2 linked regions of the Pelodiscus sinensis genome follow. The protein of the gene in region 2 interacts with the protein of the main gene of each other region in a biochemical or structural test. Links are inferred from orthologs where the notes say so. Each region holds a gene or a part of one and is shown on either strand. Other genes may lie near its edges.

The links.
Region 1: the proteins of RPS6KA3 (region 2) and PEA15 form a complex in vitro, tested with the Homo sapiens proteins (2 studies listed by BioGRID). The link is inferred for Pelodiscus sinensis from reciprocal best matches to the Homo sapiens genes RPS6KA3 and PEA15.

What each region holds. Positions count from the first base shown.
Region 1 is NC_134734.1:14,495,763-14,502,981, reverse strand, and holds the start of PEA15 (astrocytic phosphoprotein PEA-15), read right to left. Parts: upstream 3,094-7,219; 5' UTR 2,893-3,093; intron 1-2,892. UniProt on the Homo sapiens protein: Blocks Ras-mediated inhibition of integrin activation and modulates the ERK MAP kinase cascade. Inhibits RPS6KA3 activities by retaining it in the cytoplasm. Inhibits both TNFRSF6- and TNFRSF1A-mediated CASP8 activity and apoptosis.
Region 2 is NC_134711.1:208,009,438-208,017,439, reverse strand, and holds the start of RPS6KA3 (ribosomal protein S6 kinase alpha-3), read right to left. Parts: upstream 3,043-8,002; 5' UTR 2,772-3,042; coding exon 2,700-2,771; intron 1-2,699. UniProt on the Homo sapiens protein: Serine/threonine-protein kinase that acts downstream of ERK (MAPK1/ERK2 and MAPK3/ERK1) signaling and mediates mitogenic and stress-induced activation of the transcription factors CREB1, ETV1/ER81 and NR4A1/NUR77, regulates translation through RPS6 and EIF4B phosphorylation, and mediates cellular proliferation, survival, and differentiation by modulating mTOR signaling and repressing pro-apoptotic function of BAD and DAPK1.

The DNA of each region.
Region 1 (7,219 bases), on a different chromosome or scaffold from region 2:
AGATGTTCAGCACCCTGGGCACAGAGCAAAAAGCTGGTTCCAGGTGCCTGGCTGGGAGCCGAGGGCTTTGGAACATCCCACCCTGATAGTGGGCACTGAGCTCTGGGCGAGGCAGCCTGCACGTGCCTGTGGGTAGCCCGTGCAGAATGTGGTCAGCACCAAAATCAGCCGGCAGGGGCCTTGGATAATGGAGGGGTTGGGTCGCCTGGGCGCTCGAGCACATCCAGACCAGGAGCTGGAGCAGATCTAGCTGGAGTCTTGCTCTCCATACACGCACTTCCCCTGCTGTCCAAGTGTCGGCTTGGGGGGGGGGGGGGTGAGCACCAGGAGAGGGTGGGTGGGGTGTGGGGCCATCTCTAGAGCTAGAGGCATAGGGCCCCCAGTTGTCCTTTACAGGACAGAGGGGGTTTGTCAATTACCATTCCGGACAGAGGGGGCTGTGGGAGCCTTGGAGCAAATGAGGATCAGGCCCTAAATATTTCCCCCAAGCCACAGATCAGTCCCCCAGCACCAGAGACCTTTCCATTTCAGTGGGCTTGGCCGCTCACGTGCAGGAGACTCCAGCCCAGGAATGGCAGATTCGCAGCAACCAGAGGAGTCCCAGAGGGTCAAAAATAACAGTCCTCCAACACCTTCCACCCACAGGCAGAGACCCTCTAGAAATAGCTCCCTCCCCCAAGGCACAGCTCAGTGTCCTCAGCCCAATGTGATGGAAGGGTAAACTGAGGCACGGAGGACATGACATGCCCAAGGTCACACACCGAGTCAGCAGCAGAGGAGGGGACAGAACCCAAGTGTCCCGACTCCACCCTGTGCCCAAGCCTCTAGACCCCATGCTCCTCCAGGGCTGGAGATGGAACCGAGGTGACCTGACCCCCAGTTTTCCCAGATCTAACCCTGAACCCCAGCGGCCTCAGACTGGCCCCTAACCCGCTGTTGCTTCTAGCGACCAGAGATCAGACACAGCTGGGAGACCGGCCCAACCTACCCCACTCTAGTAAACAGCATTTAGAGGGAGACTGAACAGCCAGGAGCTTGGCTGGAGACGCACCCCCCTGTGCGGGGGAGCACAGTGCCCCAACACATCCTTTGCCCCCTCTCACCTTTCCCCAGCCGGCCGTGACCAGGCTCCGCCTTGCTCTGCCTGAGTCCCTTTCACCAGCACATCTCCCAGGGCTCTGCAAGGCATCAGCGCCCTCACCCCCATGTGCCCTGGAGAGTCCAGTCCAGAGCAGGGCCCCCTTGTGCCCCGACCCAGGGTCCCTGCCCCAGCCAGCTCCCCCGGGAAGCAGACCTGGGAGATAAAATGAGTCGGGCCGGGGGCAGAGGTGGGGGGCTACTGAATCCAAGGCGCCCAGCTCTTTTCCACACACCTTGGGGCTTTGGGGCTGTCTCCCTGGGCCAACTTGCCAGCTGCCCAGAGGTTTCCCTTGAATGGGGCCCCAGCAGCAGACCTGGGCTGTGAAACAGCCCAGCAGCAGGCAGCCAGCAGCCTCCAGGCCCAGCCACTGAATCATGCCCGGAGTCATGGAGTGGCCAGTTCCCCACCCCCTCTAGATTTCACCATTTCCCCTCTGGGCAGCCCTGCAACCCCCCATCCGGCCCCCACTAGCAAGGGCAGCCGGGGGAATGGAAGCTGGCCGCTGGGGGAGCCCGGGGTGCACGAGCAGCTGCCGGGGGATGGGGGCTCCCCATAGGAGAAGCCGCAGAAGGAGGCTGGTGACTCTCCCGGTTGGGGGCCGGGTTTGTACAGCACCGAGCACAAGGAAGCGGGACAGCAGCTGGCATCACCCTAGCCCGAGGCCAGGGGCTGGGGGGCTGCCCCAGCTAGGCACCAGGGAAGAATGCGGAGCCTGGTGCCCCAAGGGGGTAGCGGCAGGGCTGACTCCAGGGCAGGCGGCACGTTCCACCGGGAGCAGCACGTGTATGGGGGTCCCGCCCCGGGCTGAGCGGTTTGTGTGCGGGGTGTGTGTGCACGGGGGGGAGGTCCCGCCCGGGGTGTGTGTGCGGGGGGGGGGGTCCCGTCCAGAGCTGAGCGGTGTGTGTGCGGGGAGGGGTGTGTATGTGCGGGGGGGGGTCCCGTCCAGAGCTGAGCGGTGTGTGTGCGGGGAGGGGTGTGTGTGTGCGGGGGGGGGGGTGGTCCCGTCCAGAGCTGAGCGGTGTGTGCGCGGGGTGTGTGTGTATGTGCGGGGGGGGGGGGTCCCGTCCAGAGCTGAGCGGTGTGTGTGCGGGGAGGGGTGTGTGTGCAGGGGGGGGTCCCGTCTAGAGCTGAGCGGTGTGAGAGGGGTGTGTATGTGCGGGGGGGGGGGGTCCCGTCCAGAGCTGAGCGGTGTGTGTGCGGGGAGGGGTGTGTGTGCAGGGGGGGGTCCCGTCTAGAGCTGAGCGGTGTGCGCGGGGTGTGTGTGTGCGGGGGGGGGGGTCCCGTCCAGAGCTGAGCGGGGTGTGTGCGGGGTGTGTGTGTGCGGGGGGGGGGGGGTCCCGTCCAGAGCTGAGCGGGGTGTGTGCGGGGTGTGTGTGTGCGGGGGGGGGGTCCCGTCCAGAGCTGAGCGGGGTGTGTGCGGGGAGGGGTGTGTGTGTGCGGGGGGGGGGTCCCGTCCAGAGCTGAGCGGGGTGTGTGCGGGGAGCGGCAGCTGGAGCTGGCAGGGCGCTGCCTCAGCCGGGCGCGCCTCCCCGGCGCAGGGTGGGTCCCCGCCAGCCGCATGCGGCCGGACGCTCCGGGCTCTGAGTCCGCATGGAGCCGGCGGCTGCCCCGGGGCGGGCGCTGGGAGCCAGCGCCTGGGACCCGGTGACCGAGCGGGGACTCAAGCCCCGATCCCCCCCAGCCCGCCAAGGGCGCCCCGCGAGGACCATCCCCCGCGCCCCGCTCTCTCCTCCCCGGCAGCAGCAACTCACCGGCTCCGGCTGCGGACGGCTCGGCTGGGGCTGGAGCTCGGGGCTGGGGCGGTCCCGCCGCGCCTGGCGCGATCTGGACTCGCCTCCCGGAGGCAGCGAGCGCCCGCTGATGTCAGCGCCGGGGAGCGAGCGAGCGAGCGTGCGGGAGGCAGAGAAGGCGCCTTTGTTGCACCCCCCTCGCTCGCCGGGCTGGCACCGCCGCCGAGGCATTTAACCCTTCGCCTCCCGCGGCCCTGCCACGCGCCGCCCCTCCCCGCAACCCTCCAGCCCCGGCACCGAGCTCCGGGGACCAGCCCAGGGGCCTTTGGACATAGCCCAGTCCTGACCCCTTCCCGGGGCTTGGCCACCCCCACACGCCGGGACCCCCGCAGCCGGCTCCCGGCACAAAGTGAAACGGACCCGTCCCGGCCGGCTGCATTTTGCAGCTGGTTTCACCTCATTTCTGAGGGGCTGCGGTAAGCCGGGGGGAGACGATTCCGGATCCTCTCCTAGTGTAAACGGGAGCCGGCCCCTGATTCTCAGCCTGCACCTGGACTGGGGTTTAGCCGGTTCCCCTTCTTCCCAACAAAGCTGCACAGAGCAGAGGGCCACCAGGGCAGCTCCTGCCTCCCCTGCAGGGCCCAGGCCCAGGCCCAGGGACAGAACCTCTGACTCCAAGGGGGAGTCCAGTTCCCATCCTCAAATGAGATCCCCTGCCCTTGTCCCGGCAGAGCAGCTCCATTCCCACCAGCCCCATTCACCATCCTCCCTTCACACTGGAGACTTAGTTACCCTGGACTGCACTGACCGTTTGTTATTGTAGGGTCACCCTGCAATGAATGGCTGCACTGGCCGCTTGTTATTGTAGGGTCACCCTGCAGCTGCACTGGCTGCTTTGTTATTGTAGGGTCACCTTGCAATGAATGGCTGCACTAGCCGCTTGTTATTGTAGGGTCACCTTGCAATGAATGGTTGCACTGGCCGCTTGTTATTGTAGGGTCACCCTGCAGCTGCACTGGCCGCTTTGTTATTGTAGGGTCACCTTGCAATGAATGGCTGCACTGGCTGCTTTGTTATTGTAGGGTCACCCTGCAGCTGCACTGGCTGCTTTGTTATTGTAGGGTCACCTTGCAATGAATGGTTGCACTGGCCGTTTGTTATTGTAGGGTCACCTTGCAATGAATGGTTGCACTGGCCTCTTTGTTATTGTAGGGTCACCCAGCAATGCCAGGCTGCACTCGCTGGTTTGTTATTGCAGGGTCATTTATGTGTTTCTGCACTGCTGGCATCTGGGGTTCTGGGAAGTGAAAAAGAAGCATCTAAAGAACCACACAGACTTTGCAACCAGCTGCCAGGGGGTGCAGCCCCCAATCTGGCTCCTTGCCCCCTTTCCACACCCCTGAGCCTGGCTCCTGCAGAGCCCTAAGCCTGCTTCCCTCCAACCCCCACAGCCACTCCTGTGTTGCCCACAGGGACAGCCCATCTGGCCTTCCTCCCACCTCCGCTACCCTGCCCTGTCAGCGGGGGCCACCCAAACCCAGCATGATCAGAGCAGGGTAGGAGTAAGATCGAAAGGAGGAACTGGGCACTTTCACTTCCTCCATGGGGGGACGGGGGTGGGGGGGGGGGAGAGAGACTGTCAGAGAAATGGCAGCTGGGAGTAGATGAGCAAGCAGTTCCAGACCCTTGGGTTTGCCCATCTGGTTGCTGGTGGGGCCCCAGGCAAAGGTGTGACAATGGGGCCCTGGCTTCTAGCTGCACTTTAGGGCACAAGAGGAAAGAGCAGCCTGGCCGCACTCGCTTCTGCTCTGCAATGCAGGGATCTGCTGCCTGCTCCGGCCGAGGGAGGCCAGAATCGGTTCCTGCGTGGCTGCCAGCTCCAGTTCCTAGATGATGTGAACCGAGAGCTACAGCTGTTTGGAAGGCTGCCACGGCTGCCACTGGGAATGGTGTAGGAGGTGCTGGCTAGGCAGCATTCACTGCAGCACCAGGCCTGGCCTCGCCCAGCAGGGGGTGCACTGCAGGGAGCAGGACAGCAGCGTTGGCGGGACAGGAAGCTCCCAGCTGCACCAGTCCCAACTTCTCCCAGCAGGGGGTGCTCTGGGGAGGAGGCTAGGAATGCATCCGGGGGCACATGTGGGGAGATTGGGTAAAGGAACAGGGTGCAAGCAGCTGGAGCAAAGCCATGGAGGGGTTAGACTCAGCCAGGGACATTAATGAGACCCTGACCCAAACAGAGAGAGCATGTGGTTAGTGAGGGATGAGTCTCTCTCTCATATCTGCCCCACCCCCCGGCATTTGCCCCTGGGAGAAGGTGGGCATCTGTGTCTATGTAGGTTGGTGCCCCTGGGCAGACACCATGGCTGAGCTGGTCTTTCTGTGTGCTCCATGCAGGCCTGATGCTGGGTGTTGCTGGCTGCCTCTGGCCCCCTGCCATCCATGGGGTGTTTCACAAATACCCTAATCCCAGCTCCATGTGTTTTCATACCACTGCATAATGAGATCGCAGCAGGGCCCCCTCGGGCTGCAGCCATCAGGTCAGCCAGTGTCACCCATCCCTGCTGGGGGGCTCTGCTTCCAGCCCAGGGCCACAGAACATTTCACACTGCTAGAGCCTCGCGGGGAAGTGGGTAAAATTGGTCATTGCACCCAGTACTGAAGGTGCTTAACAGCCACACAACACCAGTGCATGGAACTCACTCACCCAGCACTGATATGCAGCCACCTCTGGGGTAGGGCATGGCAGCTGCCTAACAGCAACACAACACTACTGCATGGAGCTCACTCACCCAGCACTGATATGCGGCCACCCCTGGGGCAGGACATGGCAGCTGCCTAACAGCCACAAAACACCGCTGCATGGAGCTCACTCAGCCAGCTCTGATATGCAGCCACCTCTGGGGCATGGCATGGCAGCTGTCTAACAGCACAGAACAATATTACAGCATGGGACAAGAATCTTGTGTCCAGTGTGAACATCTGAGAGAATTTACTATGGTGGAATATAATTAACCAGTGGCCCTAGCTGAAATGTGGCCTAAAACCTCAATGCTTGTGGCACTGGGGTGGAGGGCTGGATTGTGGGGTTATGGGTCTAATCCAGGCAAACAGCAGGCCCAGCACCACAGAGGGATCAGCACTGGTGCAGGGGGGAGAGAGGTCCTCCGTCCCCCATGCCCTACTGCACAGTGCCCTCTAGTGTCACACTGGGGCATTGGGGTCAGCACTCACTGAAGGAGCATGTCTCTATGAGTCCCCTCCTCTGATTCCTTCAGCACAGCGCCCGCAGGGAAATGGCTCTGTCCCTTGGGTTAGAAATCCAGACTGTCGTGCCTACTGCCTTGTGCCAGCTCCTGGGCAGGGGATTTCTCCTCGTCCTCCCTGCCTGTGGCTCCAAGGACCCAACCCCGCAGGTCCCCTTGTCTCTGTGGCTGTTCTCAGGTGCCCAAGCTGCCACTGCCGTGTTGCCTGGGCAGGGCTGAGGGGGGTGCTGCTGCGCTCTGGACTGACACCCCGGGGAGGCAACATGGCCTGTTGGAATGGGCACAGGGCTGTGGGCAGCCCCATTGGCCTCCTGACTGACTGGACCCTGCTTCCCTGTCACCCCCTCGCTCTCCTGGCCCCTTCACCTCAGGCTTCGGGGCCTATAATCCGACAGCCCTGGGAAAGGACCTTGCCTGGGACTCCCCTTCACAGACACAGGCATTACAGACCAGCCGGATCTCGTCTGGCGTATCTAGCCGAGGCTGGGGAACCATCCCCCTCCCTCGATTCCAGCATCCCGCTCAAGTGGCTTGTGCCGGACCCAGAGCTGGGCTTTTGACCCAGGCCCCAGGGAACGCTCTCAGGGGTGGGAGCATCCCTCAAGGAGCTGCTCTGCCCTGGGAGCCGTCAGAGCTCAGCCCAACTCTCTGTGTGGAGGAGGGTCTCTGAAGGGGGCCGCCCAGCTCCAGGCTGCATTGTGGGACTCAGATCCAGGCCAGCTTGGCCCCAGGGTGCTGGGGCTTGTGGGAGCTACGCCAGGCCAGAGTGCTGCTGCAGCTACAACCCTACCGCATGGCCCTGTGCTCTGGTCCCCTCGTGCACTGCCCTTCCCTGGCCCAGCCAGCAACACCAAGATCCTGCATTGCGGGGTCTGGAGACCAGCTCTCAGCCCTTCAGAGCCACGGAGGAGGCTGGGCAAAGCCTCTGAGCAGATCCAGGGGCGGTTCTGCTGCTGAACGGATGGGCTGCGTGGGGAGCACAGCCCCAGTGCAGTGTCTGCTGTGCCATCCCATGTGCTACGGGACTGGATCCCAAATCCCAGGGCTCACAGTGGCTGGGGTCGGGCGCTACTTCCCGGGGCCTG
Region 2 (8,002 bases):
TGCAGGGTGCTGTTGCTTTGAAACTCCATGGGGAGCACAGGTCCAGTGGGAGACTGCTCCACTGGCCAGGCGTTCCCTGCAGTGCTTTCGCCTTTGAAGTGTAGCAACAGCTGTTGCTATACAGCACCTCTGCCTTTGAAGTATCGACTAATCGAGTAAATTGCATTGACTATTAGATTAAATTCAATTAATTGAATTTAACATCCCTAATATACATTTAATATTCTAATCAAATATTCATAATTGTTCTTCAAACAGTAGAACCTCAGAGTTATAAACACCAGAATTACAAACTGACCCATCCACCACACACCTCCTTTTGGAACTGGAAGTATGCAATCAGCCAGAGGCAGAAACCAAAAGAAAAAAAAAATACAGTATTGTACTGTGTTAAATGTAAACTACTAAACAAAGGGAAAGTTTAGAAAAAGATTTGACAGGGCACAGAAACTGTCTCTACACTTGCTTCATTTAAATTAAGGTGGTTAAAAGAAGCACTTTTCCTTCTGTGTAGTAAAGTTTCAAATTGGAATTAAGTCAAAATTCAGTTGTGAACTTTTGAAAGAACCAGAACCTGCTATTCAGAACTATAAACAACCACCATCACCAAAATTTTTATAACTGAGAGGTTCCACTGTAGTAACTTAGAACACTAAATCTATTCCACAGCAAATGTGTACTAAAATACCACCACACACAGGCAATATGAATATTCACTAAAAACATCAATGATTATCTGTGTCCTGTCTAAGAAATAAACCTGAAATAATTTGGGATTACACTCATATGAAGCACAGTATTTGTTACGCTTGAGCCTTACACTATAAACCTTTCAGATATAAGCTATTATTATTTTTGTAATGCTTCTAGGTAACTTTTAAGTTTCATGTAATAAAAGTGCACGACAGCCTTGTTTACATGTGTAACTTTTCTTTATAAAGTGACTGAATACACTTTGAAATGTTTGTTTTAAAAGTCTTCATAAATTATTCAGTTTGTAGCCTCCAAAACCAGAATTTTGAAAGATGAGAAATCAAGCAAATAATGGAAACGTAACATATTTAGTAACACACATCCATTAATGCAACACCTTCTAAATTTAGCAGTGTGGCTTCCTTATATTCAGAGCAGTTAGCTGATATGTTCCCTAATTATAAATATATATAACAGAGTGTCAATTAAAGTGACAGTTTACATGATAAAATTCAGTCATGCTGGATAAGTCTCAGGAAGGAAAAAAATATTTGTCCTCTTAGAACAAGTGTAAAATTCCTTAGTAATTATTCTCCTTTCCTAAATTATTTCACCTAGAACTCCCACTTGGAAGGTTAATGAGAAAACTACTGTAAGGAGGATAGGTATTTTTAAATTATTGTGGTATCAAAACCACTTAATTGGAGGGCAAACTAATCTGCAGTCTGTCAGGAAGCAATGGGACAAGTTTCTCAGCATTATTACAAATCTTTTGAGCCTTTATCATCTGATTTCCAAACCACATTAGCACACAATTCTTTATTTAAGAAAAAGTGGAAGTGACCGAAGCTCTAAATTATTACCCCACTTGGGCTGGATCTGAATTTCTTCACCAGCACGTGGAACAACTGACTAGTAACTAAAAATGCATCCGGAACTGTGACTTTGATGTCATAACTCATTAACGTCCCACTGCCCCTCACTGTGAACAGCAGGAAACCACACTGCACAGCATCACATAGATGTTTTCCATAACTGGCCAAACAGAAAATGTTACCAACGTGTGGTATCCCAAATGCTTGCAAAACAGCAACAGCAGACACAATCCAGGTCTGTCTAAATAAAGGCATTTCAGGATGGGAGAAGTGGGTGAGCTTTTCCAACAGCACAGAAAGGAAAAGGAGAGACCGTTAAGCAAGGTGAAGCCAGGCTTCTTATATGCTTGCCTGGCCTGCCAAAGGGGCAGGTGGCTATGCAGAGTTGCCCTACTAGACGCTAGTCTTCCTAAACCCCGTATCCGCTAGCTGGGAAATGCTGTGGAGGAGGCTGGGCCACTCCGGGAGGAGGTAGCTCGCGGTGACAGTAACCAGATACCGGAACGGAACGAAACCAGCCAAGTCCTGCAGCGACGCAGAAGCAGGTTATTCTGCTCCCAGCGGAGGAAGGGTGCAGGCTAAGCCTCCCCACCTCCTCCGGAAGTGGTGGGGTCCCGGCCGGTTCCCCGGTGCGTGTGGGTCGGTCACTCCGGACAAGGAAGCGGCACCCAGCCAGGACTCGCTCGGGCCAAGGAGGGAGCCAGACGCCAGGACTGAGCTCCGAGCAGCAGCAGCAGCTGCTGGGAGAGGGGAAAAGTCCTGTGCGGCTCCCTCCGGCCTTCCCCTGACCTATGAGCTCCGGCCAGCTCCGCGGCGCCCCCGCGGCCGAGCGACCCGCACACGCGGCCAAGGAAAGTTTCCCACAAACGGCGGGGGGGGGGGGGGGGGGGAGTCGCGACACCTCGCTCAGCCCAGCCCCGGGACAGGCGCGCTCCCCATCATCGCCCCGCCACGCGGGACAGCGCGTCCCGGCCCCGGGGGGCCGTAGCCCAGCAGAGCGGCGGGTGTTTCACAGCCCCTGCCCCGCCGGGCGCTCGCTCAAGGGCAACGCGCCCGGGGCCACGGAGCTAGGGCCCCCATTGCCAGGGGGGCCGGCGTGTCTCTGCGCCGCTCCCCACCCCGGCCCCGTACCTCCGTGCTGCTCTCGGCCGCGCTCTCCACAGCCATCTTCTGCCAGGGGTCCGCCAGCTGCGCCAGCGGCATCGTCCCCGCTCGACTCCGCCGCCGCCTTCGCGCGCCGCCTTCAAGCGCCCCCGCGGGGCCGGGGCAGGATCGGGGCAGCCCCCGGCTCCGACAGGGCGAGGGACCCTGGTGCGGGCGCGGCGCGGGGCCCTACCCGGCGGCTACTCTGGTGCTGCTGCCGCTTCCTCCCCTCCTCCCGCCGGGCGGAGCGAGCTACCCTGCCTCAGCGCCGCTCGCTCCCCGCTTCCGCTCGCAACATGGCGCCGCGGCCATACCTGCCCGTCAAACCGAGCCCGCCTACGTCAGCAGCTGGGGGCGGGGCCGGCGCAGCCAATCCCCGGCGCTCGCAGGTAGCTGGGGGCAAGGGGGCTGCCGGGGCCGCCCGCAGGAGCCGGGGAGGCTCGAGACAGTTGCATTCGCGCTGCACTAGGAGCCCCCCCCCCCCCAACTGCGGCGTCTCCTTCCGCCACTCCCAGTGTGTGGCTCTAGGAAAGCCAGACCCCGACCACGCGCTCGGCCCCCCTGCCCCCTTTCGCTGTGACACAGGCCCCCTTTTTGTCCCAGCTGATGGGGCCATTTCACAGCTGGGAAGAGGGAGTGTAAAATGCTTCCATTCCTCTTTGTTAGCATTTTACTCTTCTAGGGCAGTTTACATTTTGAACAAATCCAAATGACTACAGCTGCGCAGTGTTCCCGCCTACATTTCCCACCCTGGAGCAGAATAAATTTTGTTCCGTGCACTAACATGAAGATGATCACACATCAAAACCACTGCGGTGCACCTAACTATTACTACTGCGGGGTGAAGGTCTATGGTGCCAGGGGGTGCACACTCGTGGATGGGGTATGGATGAGTGATTTAAGGCTGGAACAGAGAGCTGAAGCCGGGAGGTAACTCGTTCAGGTTGGCCCTACCCTGGCCAAGGTAGGCTGGAGGCCAGGCAAGGTAGGGGGAGGTTACTTGAGTGCCTACTAGGCAGCTGCGTGGACATAGCAGTATTCTCTTTAACCTGTGCTTGTGTGGCAACTCAGGAGGGATTCAACTGCTGCCTAGAAGAGTACCCACAGGTAGAAACTAAAAACCTACCTGTAGCACACATTTATTCTGCACACAAACAGGGGGAAAAAAATCTACATATGGGAACTTAGCACATGGTGTAAGGCAGTGAATAATCAGGTTATTTTTTGGTTAATGAATCAGAATTTGACTCAAACCTCCCCCCAATCAAACCCCTACTAGAGACTGAATAAAGCCCTAGATTTACATTATGAAGCAATTTACTCTGGACAGCTATTTCTGTCAAACTCAGGATAAGGTAATGGAAAAAAGAGAAATAATTCAGTAGCTCTTGACAGCCATTAAGCTAAGGTCTGTAATCAGGAATGTTTCCTAGTAAACTGACCAGAACCAGATCACTTTACAGTCTAAAGCTTTTGCAGGCTGGCCGTTGGGATGCTGTGAATAAGTAGAGATTTCACATATACTGTCTTTAAATGTCTGAAATTCACATCTGAACACCTCCCCATCTCCAAGGCACAAAACCCATAAGCTGCAAAGGAAAAATGCTCCTTACCTCAGTACCTTAGAATATAGCCCTAACAGGTATACATTCTCTCACATCAGAGTAATTCATTTTTTGTTATGTTAACAATTTTATTAATACTGGTGTAAATGCCAGCTAATCCAGATACCCATGTTGAGAATTCCCATTCTATGGGAGGGTGGAATTGGGCCAGATAGGGTTGCCATCTTTAACTTGGCAAAACCGTATCTTAACTAAAATTCACTGGAACCTCAAATAAACCCTCTTTTTGGATAAGATGAATGGAGACTTTCCTAGCTACATATGAATTGTACCATCTCTTCCTTTTCCCATATACCTGGGCATTTCCACCCTTCCAGAGGACTCTCCTCACAGTTATAGTCTAAACTGAACTTAGCCCACAATGATTTTGTTCAAGATTTGTGATGTAGAGGAAGAAATAGTAGTATTTCCATCTAGTTGTGTCCTGGAAAAGTGGATGATCATCTTGTTCACCTCTATTACCTGTGAATCCAGAGAGAAAAGGCAAGAATAAATTTAATGTACAAGACAAACAGTTGAAAACTACTCATTACCACTTGACTGTCCTCTCATAACAAATCTAATACATGTACTGTACTTTAAACTCATCACCTTACAGGATGTCCCCTGTTTCCTAATCCACAATAGCATTCATCGACACACCTCTCTCCCAACCTACTCCTTACAACAACAAAAATCAGTACCAATAATTTACACTGAAGTGGTTATCAACAATCACAAGTGCTCTATATAAAGTGTTATGCGGCACTGATTCAGCAATATTCTGGAAGGTTTGATGGCACATTGGACCTCCCTGATTCAGCATCTTTGGGGCCTGACCAGTCCGAACGAAGAAATTTGCTAGACAAAGGGAGGTCAGGAGCAATGTTCCCTTTAATCTCCATCCATGTCTGGAATAAATTTGTGTGCACTGAGGAAGAGCATGGGTGCTGAAGGAATCTCCCTTCAGATTCATACAGGGACGTTGCTGGCTGTTCCCCCAGAGCAGGGGTCAGCAACCTTTTCAAACCAAAGAGCCAAACTACATAAAAATTCAGATCAAGCAGTCAACAAAGAGCTGTATAAGAACACCCATTTGCATCACTGAAAATATGCAACCTAATATTGATAACTGGCATGATTAATAATAGCATAAATGAAACATTGTACTCAGACTTCATTAAATGCTGCTTAAATGCCTCTATGGTCAGGGCAGCACAGTTCAATAGTCCTGCCATAACCTTAAGGTAGAAGTCTGTTGAAGAGTTAGTAGGCAAGAGAAAGGTTTGTATCCCCTGGCAGGGGGGGTCCAGACACTCCCATTCAACTGGACCCCAGCCCAGGGCCCTGTTAGTGGCTTGCTCACACAATTAAGTCAGCAGGGAAATCCTGACCACAACACACTGACTTCTCAACAGTGGCTCACTCACCCCAGTAGCCATTGCCACTCCTGGGCTGCTTTCTGCTTCACCAGGTCTCAGTTCCTTGGTGAGTCTTGGTTCCACCACATCCCCACATATTTCAGGTACCTCTCCCTTCCCCTGGACCTAACAAGGTCTCAAGAGGTGTCCTGACCTCTAGTTAGGCATTGGGGCTTGCAGGAAGCTGACTCAGCATAACCTCTCCCTCCAGCTATCAGCCTAGCTGAGCTGCTCTCTTTTATAGTAGTACAGCCTGAGCATGCCCAGTAAGTTAAAGGGGGTGCATCCTCCTCTGCCCTCAGGGCTGAGTTAACCCCCTCCTGACCAGTGCAGAGTGGGTACGCTCCGTCATACCCTCCAAAAAATACACAACCCTCACTGATGTGACCCCCAACTGAGACACCCCACTCCCCTGGCACTCCAGCCCCATGTGGGGGGAGAAGGAGCAGGGAGGACTGAGGTTCAAGGCCTCAGGCCAGATTAACTCTTCTGGGGTTCCGGGGCTTAGTGGATTTTGCGGGCCTCCCTAGGTTCTGGGTGGGGCCAAAAGTGAGGGGTCCAGTGTGTGGGACAGAAATGCCAGTGAATGGGGTTGGGATGGGATGCAGGATATGTGAGGGAGGTAGGGTGAAGGAGCAGGCTGGGAGTAGGGAGTCTGGCCAGAGGAGAGGGGGCAGAAGCAGACAGGGGGCAGGTTTCTGGCCAGAGGGTAGGTGGCAGGACTGGGCTGTGGGCAGGTGTCTGGCGGGGGTGGTGGTGGTGCAGGAGAAGGATGCAGGTGTGTGTCTGGCCATGGGGGAGGGGGAAGGAGCAGGCTGGTGGTGAATGTCTGGACAAGGGGGAGGGGACAGGAGAGATTGGGGGTAGGTGTATGGCCAGGGGAAAGGGGCAGGCATAGCCTGGGGTACAGGGTCGTGAGGTGGGTGGGGGTGCAGTCTGGGCGGTACTATTTTTTCCCAGGCTATGTCTACACTACAGGCTTCTTGCACAAGAAGCTTTTTGCGGAAGAGATCTTCCACAAAAACTTCTTGTGCAAAAGAGTATCCACACTGCAAAAGCACATTGAAAAAGCAATGCGCTTTTGCACAAGAGAGTCCAGACTGAATGGACGCTCTCTTGAAAGAAAGCTATTCACAGAATAGCCACCAGTGCAACTGTGCTTTTTTCAATAGGGTTTTTTTGTGCAAAAAGAGGCAGTTCCCCATCCACACGCACCTCCCCATAGAAAGAGGAATAACTCTTGTGCAAAAATCCCTCAATTCTGTCAATTTACTTGCACAAAAATGCACTTGAGGTGTGGATGTTCTGTGAGTTTTTGTGCAAAAACAGCCATTTTGGCGCAAAACTCTGCAGTTTAGACAGCCCTCGTGTCTGAAATAGGGTTTATTCAGTGTAACATACAAGTCACTGCCACGTGGCAGCCAGCTCCTGCTCCACATGGGAAAAGGAATAAGTTAGCGGCCCAAAGATTGAGTGTGGAATGGAGGCCGAACCTTGCCAGAAGTGCAAGGAGTCCGGCTGGCAGGTCTGGGCATGGATGGGAACCAGCCCACTCAGTCATGCTTCTTGTAGCTCTCCAGGCTGGCCAGGAACAAGGTGCTCAGGCTGATGAGAGATTCCAGCGGCCCCACGGGGCTCTCCAGCGGGTACAAGTGCACAGTACGCACAGGTGGCGTGAAGCGGGATCAGAGAAGTGTGCGGAGCAGCAAGGACATGGCCATGCAGCAGCGGGTCCTTCACAGGCAAGATGGCAGCCGGGTCTGCTTTTGTGCCCCATACTGCTCTCAGGCTTCCTGCCCCAGGCATGGCTTCCCACTGCTCCATTGGCTGGATTGTGGCCAATGGAGCAGAGGGAAAAGCCTACAGGAAGCGTGTCTGTTGCTGCTTTGTTCCTCCATCCGGGGGAGGGAAAGGGAGGAAAGGCAATGTGTGCATGTGCGAAGCCGGCCGTTTATGCCTTCGACTTCTTCCCCAATTGGACAGCGAGACTTGGGCCTTTCTCCGCCCTCCCCTAACTTCTCTGCCGGAAGCCAGCACTGGCTCCAATCTTGCAAGGGGCGCAAGGCTTAAGCACAACGTGGGCTTCCCATTGTGGGGAGGGGGATTGAGGAAGGGGCAGAGCAATAGTGAGCCATATATGGCTTGCAAGCCATAGGTTGCACAATTTGTTGCAGTACTCACTCTGGCTGGGGAGTGCAGGGGGCAAATGAACCTGGACCTGTCCCAGCCAGGAGACATGCACCCCTCTGCTGGCTGTGCCCACTGG